2 linked regions of the Drosophila melanogaster genome follow. The protein of the gene in region 2 purifies or fractionates together with the protein of the main gene of each other region. This does not show direct contact. Each region holds a gene or a part of one and is shown on either strand. Other genes may lie near its edges. The genes, in order: capu and spir.

Evidence for each region.
Region 1: the proteins of spir (region 2) and capu purify together in Drosophila melanogaster (affinity purification with western blotting, with the first as the bait; one study listed by BioGRID). This does not show direct contact.

Annotation. Positions count from the first base shown.
Region 1 is NT_033779.5:3,899,779-3,904,714, reverse strand, and holds the start of capu (cappuccino), read left to right. Parts: upstream 1-1,854; 5' UTR 1,855-2,120; intron 2,121-4,936. UniProt on the Drosophila melanogaster protein: Acts as an actin nucleation factor and promotes assembly of actin filaments together with spir. May play a role in intracellular vesicle transport along actin fibers, providing a novel link between actin cytoskeleton dynamics and intracellular transport.
Region 2 is NT_033779.5:20,309,471-20,314,318, forward strand, and holds the start of spir (spire), read left to right. Parts: upstream 1-1,748; 5' UTR 1,749-2,349; coding exon 2,350-2,944; intron 2,945-4,848.

The sequences.
Region 1 (4,936 bases), about 16 Mb from region 2:
AAAAAGGGGAAAGGTTGGCAAAAGTTTTTCGACTCCTCATTAGCTTTTGTCTCCATTGGGGCATTAAATTGGAACGAATATTTGTTTGCTCGGTTCGACTAATTGCGCTGCTAATTTCAATTGTTCGCATTGTCGGCAAGCAATAATAATGCAAAAATTGTAATTACAAATTAACAATTGGTCGTCTGGGTCCCTCGGTGACCTAAAATTAGATTGTGTAAATTTGCAAATTAATTTGCCATTGCACAAAGAGCTCCGTGCAATTCAGCTCGGCAAAATCAGAGCACACAATATCAATTTATTTACTGTGCAATCTGTAAATAGTAGAACATGGAGTCATTAAATTGCAACTGCTAAAAAAAAAACTTGAAAATTTAGTACTGCCAGTCAAAAGTCCAAGTGAGTTGCATTTACATAAAAATAGGCTAACAAAAAAAATATCTACACAGCGTCATACAAGACCGCAAAAATATGGAAATTCAAATAGAAACAGTATCTTTTAGCAAAAAGAGAAAATCTTTAAAATAAAATCATAATAGCCGGCAAATGGAATAATCAACAGACATCAAAACGAATTCGAATTAAATTTTAAACTGCGGGAAGCTTAAAACCGATTTTGTAAACTACAACTGGGTGAAAAGTTCAATACAAATACTTTTATTTACTTTTCACCTTCATTTGTGAAAGGTGATTACCGAAAAATCATCAGCCAACTATAGCAAAACTTTCTCCCAACTTGCGGATGAAACAAAAATGATACAAATTCCTTTTTGCTTTCTTTTTTCGCTCTAAAATTATAAAATCGAAATGGGTTGTAAAAACAATCAGTTGTACAGAATTCTTTGCTTGCTTTCGATTGTTAGTAAAACCCTTGAGCACTCAGTGATATTGTAAAAATACACAAAATATTTAATTGCACAGCAAAGTATAAAAGAAGGGGGAATTATCTTTAATCCAATACTTGTTTAGCTCTGTTATGAAATATTTGAGTAATAAATCCACATAATTGATACTTTTAACAAACAAAATAAAAACGTAATATGTGAGCATTAAAAATGAAAAATGTATCAGTATTTTATTTGAATAATTGCAAGCGGAAGCAAGGAATTTAGTAAAATAAAATAATTTCGTTTTTGAATGAAGGTTACATAAATTTCTCTTAGCGATAAAAACTATTTAATGGATATTAAAGATTTAAGGACATTGTAAATAGATAAACAGAGTAAACCAAAGAGTTTAGAAATTTAATTTGAAATAAATGTGTTTAAAACATAATCGAAAATATTTATTAGAATAGTGAATAATATCTGCATTTTTATGAATGGGTTACTGTGGCGTTGAGTAAGATACATCTATAAATGGTATTTCTTATTTAATTAATGATCTTACTTTTAACTATGTATAATAAAAAAATAGTTTTAAAAATAGTTAAGGAGTTTTATTTAGTCCCCGAACAAACTCAGACCACCCACGCATTTTTCAAGTATCCACCTAGATATAAACAAAGATGTACTGGTAATCCAAAACCAAATATGATCAAAATAGCCAATAACTTTAGTCTAAGTCTGCGACTATATTAAACTGTCCATTTTCGTTCTATAATTTTTACTCAAACTAAATGTAAACTATTAAATCTGCTTTTAAAAAAAAAAAGAACCGAGAGAACAGAAATGTTCACGCCAGGCGATTGAAACATTTTACTGACCTTTTTAGTGCGAAACCAAAAGTTTAAACTAATTTTAATTGTAAACCTAGACAGTAATGATATACGATATATTATACAATGTAAATCAGAATATACGATAATTATAAAGTAAATAAAATGAAATTTAAAACAAGCAGTTCGTCTACACCGTTCAATTGGGTTAGGCATACAAAATTCTGTCAAAATTTGTGTAATTTTTCGTTTCCTTTTTTTTGTTGTATATCGTTTTGGTAAGATGATTGTGTATCCAATGGAAGAGCTCTATCCGGCTATGATGGTCATAGCCATCACATTGTTAGCCCTTCTGCAATGGGGTATTCGTGCCACAATTAAGCCCAAAATATTGGGCCCACAGAAAAACGCAATAAAAAATGGAGTAAACAACAAAAGGAGGAAAGTCCTCTCCGCCATGCAGGTAAATTGAAAAATGTTTGCAATTGTTTTTACCATCTATCTATGCTCTTTTTGCGGTGCGCACAATTAAGGTGGAAAAATGTAGATCGACTGTCAGATATTCTTACAGAAACTGAATATATTTTGCCTATCTGAGCATTAAACAACAATGACCATTAATGATTTATCAGATTTAAAGACCAGTATATATGTATAATATATAATTAATAATCTTCATATATATTATTTTTAATTACTACAACTTAGGCACAACACTAGTATTTTTAACAATCATTGCACTTAACAGATTTTTGTTTTGATTTTAAAAAGTGTATTCAATTATTTCGCAACTTTAAAACTCAATTTTTGTGGAATTTTATTTTTTGACTGCTTGGCAACTCTGACCACCAATGCGTGCCTGTGTGTGTGTTGCTTGTCAGTCTGCGTGTGTGTGTGAGTTTGCGCTGCTGGCAAACCGCAAAATGGTGACATTGTGCAAATAAAAAACAATTTACGATAAACATCAAATTTCCACAAATTACCTTATATTTTACGTGAGTTGCGAAACAGATTGTAAAACGCGAAAACACACACAAACCGAGGGAAAAGTGAAAAAAAAGAAAACCGCGATTCGCAGATTTTACACTGCAATGAACATTTTGTTTCACTGTTCACCATTGTTTGCCAAGTGTGGAATAGGGGCGAGAGGTTTGGAAACTTGGGGGCGTGGCTAAGAGAGGTGCCACTTTAAGCGTGCCGCATGCCCCCACCTGAATCTCGAATTTTGCAATTATTTTTATTGCTCGCCATTTTGCTCGTCTGATGTTTTCCACGTTTTTTTTTTTCACCCCCCAGCTGCAACCTGACGGGGGTTGGGGAATGTGTTTGGGGGCAGAATAGAGGTCGTAGGCCATTTCGAGGGCCCTTCATAAATTTCCACAGTGCGGAAGAAGGAAAAAAAATTATTCTTTATATGAGGGAAATAAATAAAAAAATGCTTGTTAAGCTGCGGCGCTGTATGTTTGCGCATAAAAAGCATACAAATTATGCAGGCACTGTAAGAGATTAAAAACTAAATAAAAATAAGTGTGAAAAATTGCTTCCTAAATATATAACGAGAAACCCTTTTCAATCTTAAATAGTATCATTGATCAAACTTTTCAATCGCACCTTTATCAACACCTCAGATTTTCAGAGCAAAAGAGATTTGCAGCCATCTTGACATTTGTCGGCCAGTATGAGGCGCCACTTTCCCACGATTTTCCATTTCGAAGAGCTCATTCCTGCCCCCTAATTGATGTCGCCAGGTGTCGTCGAACCACATAAACAGGGCTCAACGGCAAAAAAAAAAGAAATCCAGAACAGCCAGTTCACTGGCCGCATTGTGCGCCAGAGGGCCAATAATTAGGAGTGTCTTTAAGATGGGTCTAAAAAATGATAAGAGGGCTGGAAAGCAGATAGCGACATGACCAACTCAAATAGGCAGCGGGGAAACTTGGCCTAGACTGTGTTGACTTGCTGGCCAATGTAATTAGGGAGCATTAGGATTAGACCGACTGTTCCCAAGCAGCGGATAACAAAGCACTGCACAGAGAGAAGATAATTAGGTCTAATTTGTACTATTAAATATACTTCTTTAAAGGTATTAAATAAAAATTCTACTTAGCTCGTGGGAATATCAGAAATTAAATGCCAAGTAGTTGTTAGAAAAATATTGAATAATCCTGAGAAACATACTTCTGATTTTCAGTGCAAACGCAATAAGCCAACTAAAACTTGGCCAACGGCAAGTTGGAGAGAAGGAGCAGAAAATGTGGTAAACTTTTTGCTGTTTTGGCGTAAACAAAAATAAATCAATTTCTTGGTGCGCACAATTGTTAAGATAGTAGATAGGACAGAGTCCATAACGACAGGACCGAACAACAGGATAAGTCCGCAGAGTCATGTCAATGGCCGGCGGCTTTCGAGAAATGGAAATTTCGAAAGACGCCAGGCATTTTTCCTTAGATTCTTTTGCAAATATTCCAAATTCAACGGAAAGTGGAATAATATTTGCACGACTTGCGTATGTAAAGCCACTTATACCTGGGACCATGCTGATTGCATTTGGAAGTATTTTCAGGTGCCTGTGGCAAATTTAAATATTCAAGTGACCTTTAAGAAGAAGTTTTTATAAACAAAAACAATTTAAACATTTCTTCTTGGCACAACTCATATACAGAGTTCCGTGGATTTCCGTGGCATCGCCGATAATTATTTCTTGAAACATGCTAGAATTCAATTTCTAAAACTCCAATCAAATTACCAATATACACGTCTCGAACAGAAACCTAATTTGAATGCCAGCGAAGCGGGTGAAATGTAGTTAACTTTCAGTCGATTTAGTTTGGTTTCGAGCTCCCTTCAATAACCCTTGTTCTAAGCTCCAAGTCCCCCATACCGTCACCATTAGTTCTTATTCCCCGGGTTCTTGTCGCTATTTCTGCTGTTCCTGCTGTTGCATCGCATTCTCATTGACAAGTTTAATTGATGGGCGTCAGCGTCAGCTTTTGGCTTCAGCTCGACGGAGTTTGGGGAAAAGGCCATGGCCAAGACACCATCCCGCATACCCCACTTTGCCCATCACACTCTGACCCCCGTTGTACAGTACACCCTCGATTACCGGAATGGCGACGCGACAAAACCGCAGAATCTAATTTGGCACAAACCACCAAAGCAATTAAAGTTGCAGCTCTGCAAACGGTGTCCGATGCGAATGTTCCCCAACTGTCTATCTGTCTCTGTCTTTCCCTCGGCGCGTTTGTGTGTGTGTGTGTGTGTGTGTGTGTGCGAAGGTAT
Region 2 (4,848 bases):
CAACTTAATCCGGCGGCCACCCCTCTTCTTTTTAGGTGGCTGCTCCCTCGCTGCAGTCCGTGCCTTGTACTCTTGTATGGTCAAGGGCTTTGGTCCCGCGGACGGATCTACCTCTATTACCTCTTTGATACTTGGCAGATCCCTTTGCTCGACAGGAGCAGGGTGTTCGAACGTCTGCTTGGTAGACATTCGCTGTTGTCATGTGCGGCGCGCCGGTGGAATCCTTTATCCTTTATCCTAATCCTACCCTCGCAGGATGCCGTGCTAATTGCTGTTGCGGCTTACAATGGTCGAGGGCAGTCGTTCATGCAGACGTCGGGTCTTTTCGGCTTGGGTGATGTTGAATTTTCAGTTATTTCTTCATTGATTATTTCTATTTTTGCTGAGTGAGTTGTGGTATTCGGCTTTCTTTGCTGGAGGTTTTCTTTCAGAAAGTCTAATTCGGCAGTTAATTTCGGTGCCGTTGCCCATGGGGGCGGTGTTTTATTTGTATATCATAGCCACTTAATATGTGCTATACCTTTATTTTTGATTTCCTGACATCCGCGTTTGCCCATTACCACACTCTACTCACTCAGTATTTTTGTTTCTTTTTTTTTTCATCAGTGTCCCGTCTCTAGGTCTCCCGCACTGGTGTAAGGGGCGGCCTGCCTCTCACACCTGTTGTCGCTGTTTAGAATTCCCAAATCAAATCGGCAATATTAGCAGCATTTCCTCAGTAGTCCTCAGATCGCAGGCTCCTGCCTCACGGTCGCCATGTAATAAACCAATATATGCCACCAATTGAGAACACGTGTTTTCCTTGCAGTTGGGTGCAGCCGTCAGGCCACCTTTTTATTTCTTCTTATCTCTTCGAGTAGCAGAAACGGTTCTGCCCGCTTAACCTCTACAGAGTGTCTAATCTTACCTAAATACTGCGACTGCGCCGCCGTCGACAGCGGCAGAAGAGCAGCGTATATATATATGTATAAGAGAGAGAGAGAGAGAGCTTATGCGCATATATGGCCAGCGGCCAGCGTGGGGATGCTGACTTAGCTTAAAGCATAAATGGGTGATCTTATATCACGCTCACTTGAGACATTTATTTATGCAATGCAACTAAGTGTTGCTGTGTACTTATAGGTACAGTGTACCCTCGATATATGCACATACTACAATATATTCTTGTAATCAATGTTTATATTATGTAAATCAGCTGTCGCTCCCCAAAAATTCCTTAATTCCAATTAGAAGACAACGAAAAAATTTCTCTTTATTTACGAATAAAAATTGTCCCTCAACTCCAATTGGAACGGCTGATCCGTCAACATTTTAGTCGGCAACACTTTAGTCTGCAACATTTGGGAATGTTGCATCATCTTGTTGCTATGCATGTTTCCACGGAAAAAGAGAGTATATCATAACAAGAGACCATTCACTTTTTTCGTTTTGAAGCAACAAATTTGAAAAGAGAAAACTTTATGTTTTTCCCGCGGGCTTGTTTGTTTTTTTTTTCTCGCTCTCCGTCGAATTGACTCTACATTTTGATGTGATCTTATTATTAGGTGAATCAGCTGTCTTCAAAAGAACAGTTTTAATTAAAAAAAAAATCCCTCAATTCCAATTCAAATTTCATTTAGAACACAACGAAGATATTTCTCTTCTTGTACGAACAAAATGCTCTCTTAACTCAAGTTGGAACGGCCGTTCCGGCAACATTTAAGTTGGTAACATTGTTGCATGCTGCATGCATTTGAGCACAAGAGTGTCATTTACGATTAGCAACTCGCGGCGAACGGACGTGTGTAAAAAATAGCCGGTGAGAAAAAACGAAGTGCGATTGCCGAAGAAAAACAGAGAGATTTCAAATAATAAAGAAATGCAAATGAAACAGAAGAAAATAAAAATAAAGCAAAGTGCGTGATTTCCATCTCCTCAGTGTTGTGAAATTTCTAGCAGAGTCTAACGGCGATTTGCGAATGCCGACTTAAGAAGTGCGAAAACAAAAACGTGACGCCAGTTTAAAATATTCTCAAGCGAAAATCATGTGTTTTTTGTTATACCCTGTGCTTTGTGTTTAATGTAGCTGACGACAAACAAAATATTAGAATCGTGTACGTCGGGAATCCGAATTCCATCCCCTCGTGTTGTGTTATTATTGTATTAAAGTTTCCTTTGCCATTTACCACACACAACACAGAAAAACAACAACAACAAAACTAAACCAAAATCGAACCAAAAACAAACCGCGAATTTTGCAGGTTAGCCCACCCGAAAGAGGCAAAAAAATCAATTATATGTTGGCCAGTGCCGGGTTTGCAGTGGAATCGGGTTGAAAGCCATCGATAGCCACACACGCCCACACACATAATGACGGAGCACCAGGCCGAGGAGCAGGCGGACACGCCGCCCACCAAGGTCAAGGCCACGCCCACACCCACCCCGAGTGGAAAGTTCAAGGACGCGAAGGAAGACGCCTTCCTGTCCACATCGCCGGACAGCGCCAACGGCGATGCCCAACACAAGCTGCCAGCGGACCAGCTGGCCATGTCCTCCAGTGCGCATCCCCAGCAGGCGGGCCAAGCCCGCCCGCTCATCCTGCAAGCCTTCCACCGCTGCTCCTCGCCAGAACAGTGCGTCACGCTGCACGACATCCTGGACTCCTTTAAGGCGCCGCTCTCCGAGGACCAGGCCTGGGCCCTGATCCACCAGTTCGCCGGGCTCTACCACCAGGTGGCCGTACAAGCGCACACCTGTGCCGCGGACTACGAGGCCGCCCTGCCCACCGGATTCGAGCTGCACTTCCATCGCGACGGCAGCGTCCACTTCTCCGGCCCGGATCAGCTGACGCCTAAGGAGCAACTGCAGCAGGAGCAGATCCCCCTCCCCCCGCAGCACGACGTGATTGTGGATCAGCCGGACCACAGCGCCAGCAGCAGCGGCGACAGCAGCGTCATCAACAGAGGTAAGCAGACCGACCTACTGAAAAATCAATATGCATACATATTTCTCACGGCTACAGTTAGCGGAAATTAATATTCCTGCAGTTTATGCCAGTTGTTTAATTAACGGAAATTAACTTAGTATGAATCTTCTATTCCTTGAATTTTTAATTTATTATTTTTTAAATCATGCTGAAAATATTTGAACTAAAATTGATCTATAGTCATAGTTATTAATGTTATAACATTTATTTATTAACGTGCTGCACACAACTGGCAATCTTTAGAATCTATATAGAAGTGGAAATGTTCAATACAACATTGATCAACTAACAATTTGGATTGATAACCTAATGAACCTGCCAACCCCAAATGACATTTTAATGTCGTTTTTCCTTACAATTATAGTAACATGTTTTAATCACAAATAATTTATTGTACATTGCACGCAAATGCAATTTGACTACCTTTAAGCTAGCAACCCGTGTATATTCTTTCGACTTTGTGTTAAGTTCTGTATCCTTTGAGCAATATTTCCTATTATTTTTTATGAGTCTTCCTAAAGATATATATATAGTTTATGTGTATTTCGGCCCGTCAGAGGTCAGTTGGGTGTTGACTTCAGATGCGGAACTGTAACAGTGATGAAAACTGGGGCTGTGATTAGCTGGGCCGGAAAACCGGTTGCGCTGATGCCTCTCCGAATGCTGAGGGGTCTTTGTCTTTTCGGCAAACGCTTTCATTTTCAGTTAATAAGCCACAGTTAACTTCTTTCTCTCGGCCTTTTATTTTCGGACATCTGCCGTGATGTGGGTTTCCGTGTGCCATCCATCTGACTATTGGCATCGCCCGGCCATCGCCAGCGGAGTCCCCAGCGCTTTCCAAACAAACAACCCACACTATCCGCCATCCGATGATGACCTCTGCATTTAAGTTATGCAGCCAGCCAGCTTTGATTGGGGTTTTCCCCACTTCTGCCTTCTGTCTGATTGCGTGCTGGCTTGGGAAAGTGTAAACGGCGACTCCCATGAAGAAGGTACCATCCCAGTACCCTATCAGCAGTGTTTTTCACTTTCTTTTGTAGCTCGGAGAGCACAAGTATCACTGGAAGAAAGGCAGGTCATGTTCGGATTGGGCAGAAGATTGAACGCTTTTCCTTGCCGCAATACAATCGAATCCAAATCTACGAAAGTAGATTTTTTCCAGTGTAACGATCACAGCCTTTCCTTTCGGCATTCCCCCTGCATTCGCTGTAATTGATGGGGGGATACTTTTTCGCCTCTCGATCTCTGAATCTACAGAACGTGTCTGAGTCTGTCTCGCAGCTAATTGTTTAATCATTCGTCTGCGCGGGGACTGTCAAAATACAGGTCGGTAATCTATCGACTTTTAGATAAGCCACGTTAATTGGAAAATGCGTTTCTGAGTGGGTAGTGATGGGAATCTTGGATTTCGTTCTCCTAGGTGGCCCTTAATGTGACTCAGCTCAGCTTTTGGTCTGCAGCATTAACTGCATTCCATTGCATCTTTCTTCGTATGGGCCTGTCTATCTCTATTTGGCCAGGCCAACTCTGCCTATAGCCGGCTTTTGTATCAGCGTGGCCAATTAGTTAGCTCTTATAGACAATTAGCCAGTTACATGGGTAATCTTAAGGGCACGCAGATACAGGAAGTTACAGTATTAATTGAACTGTGTAACTCGGAGGTGAAGGAACTATAGATGGCTGATAATGCTGTAGGAAGTCCTAGGGGATTTTAAAACCCATTTCAGTATACTACTTAAAATTCAGAAATTTTCTTTTATAAATAACTTAAAAAATGTTCTTAGCTCTTAAACCTCTGTAATTAAAGGTCTGTGATCGTCAATTTCTTATCTAAATTCACACGTAACCTTTGTTTATGCTTATCATCAGAACTTTCCTCGGGC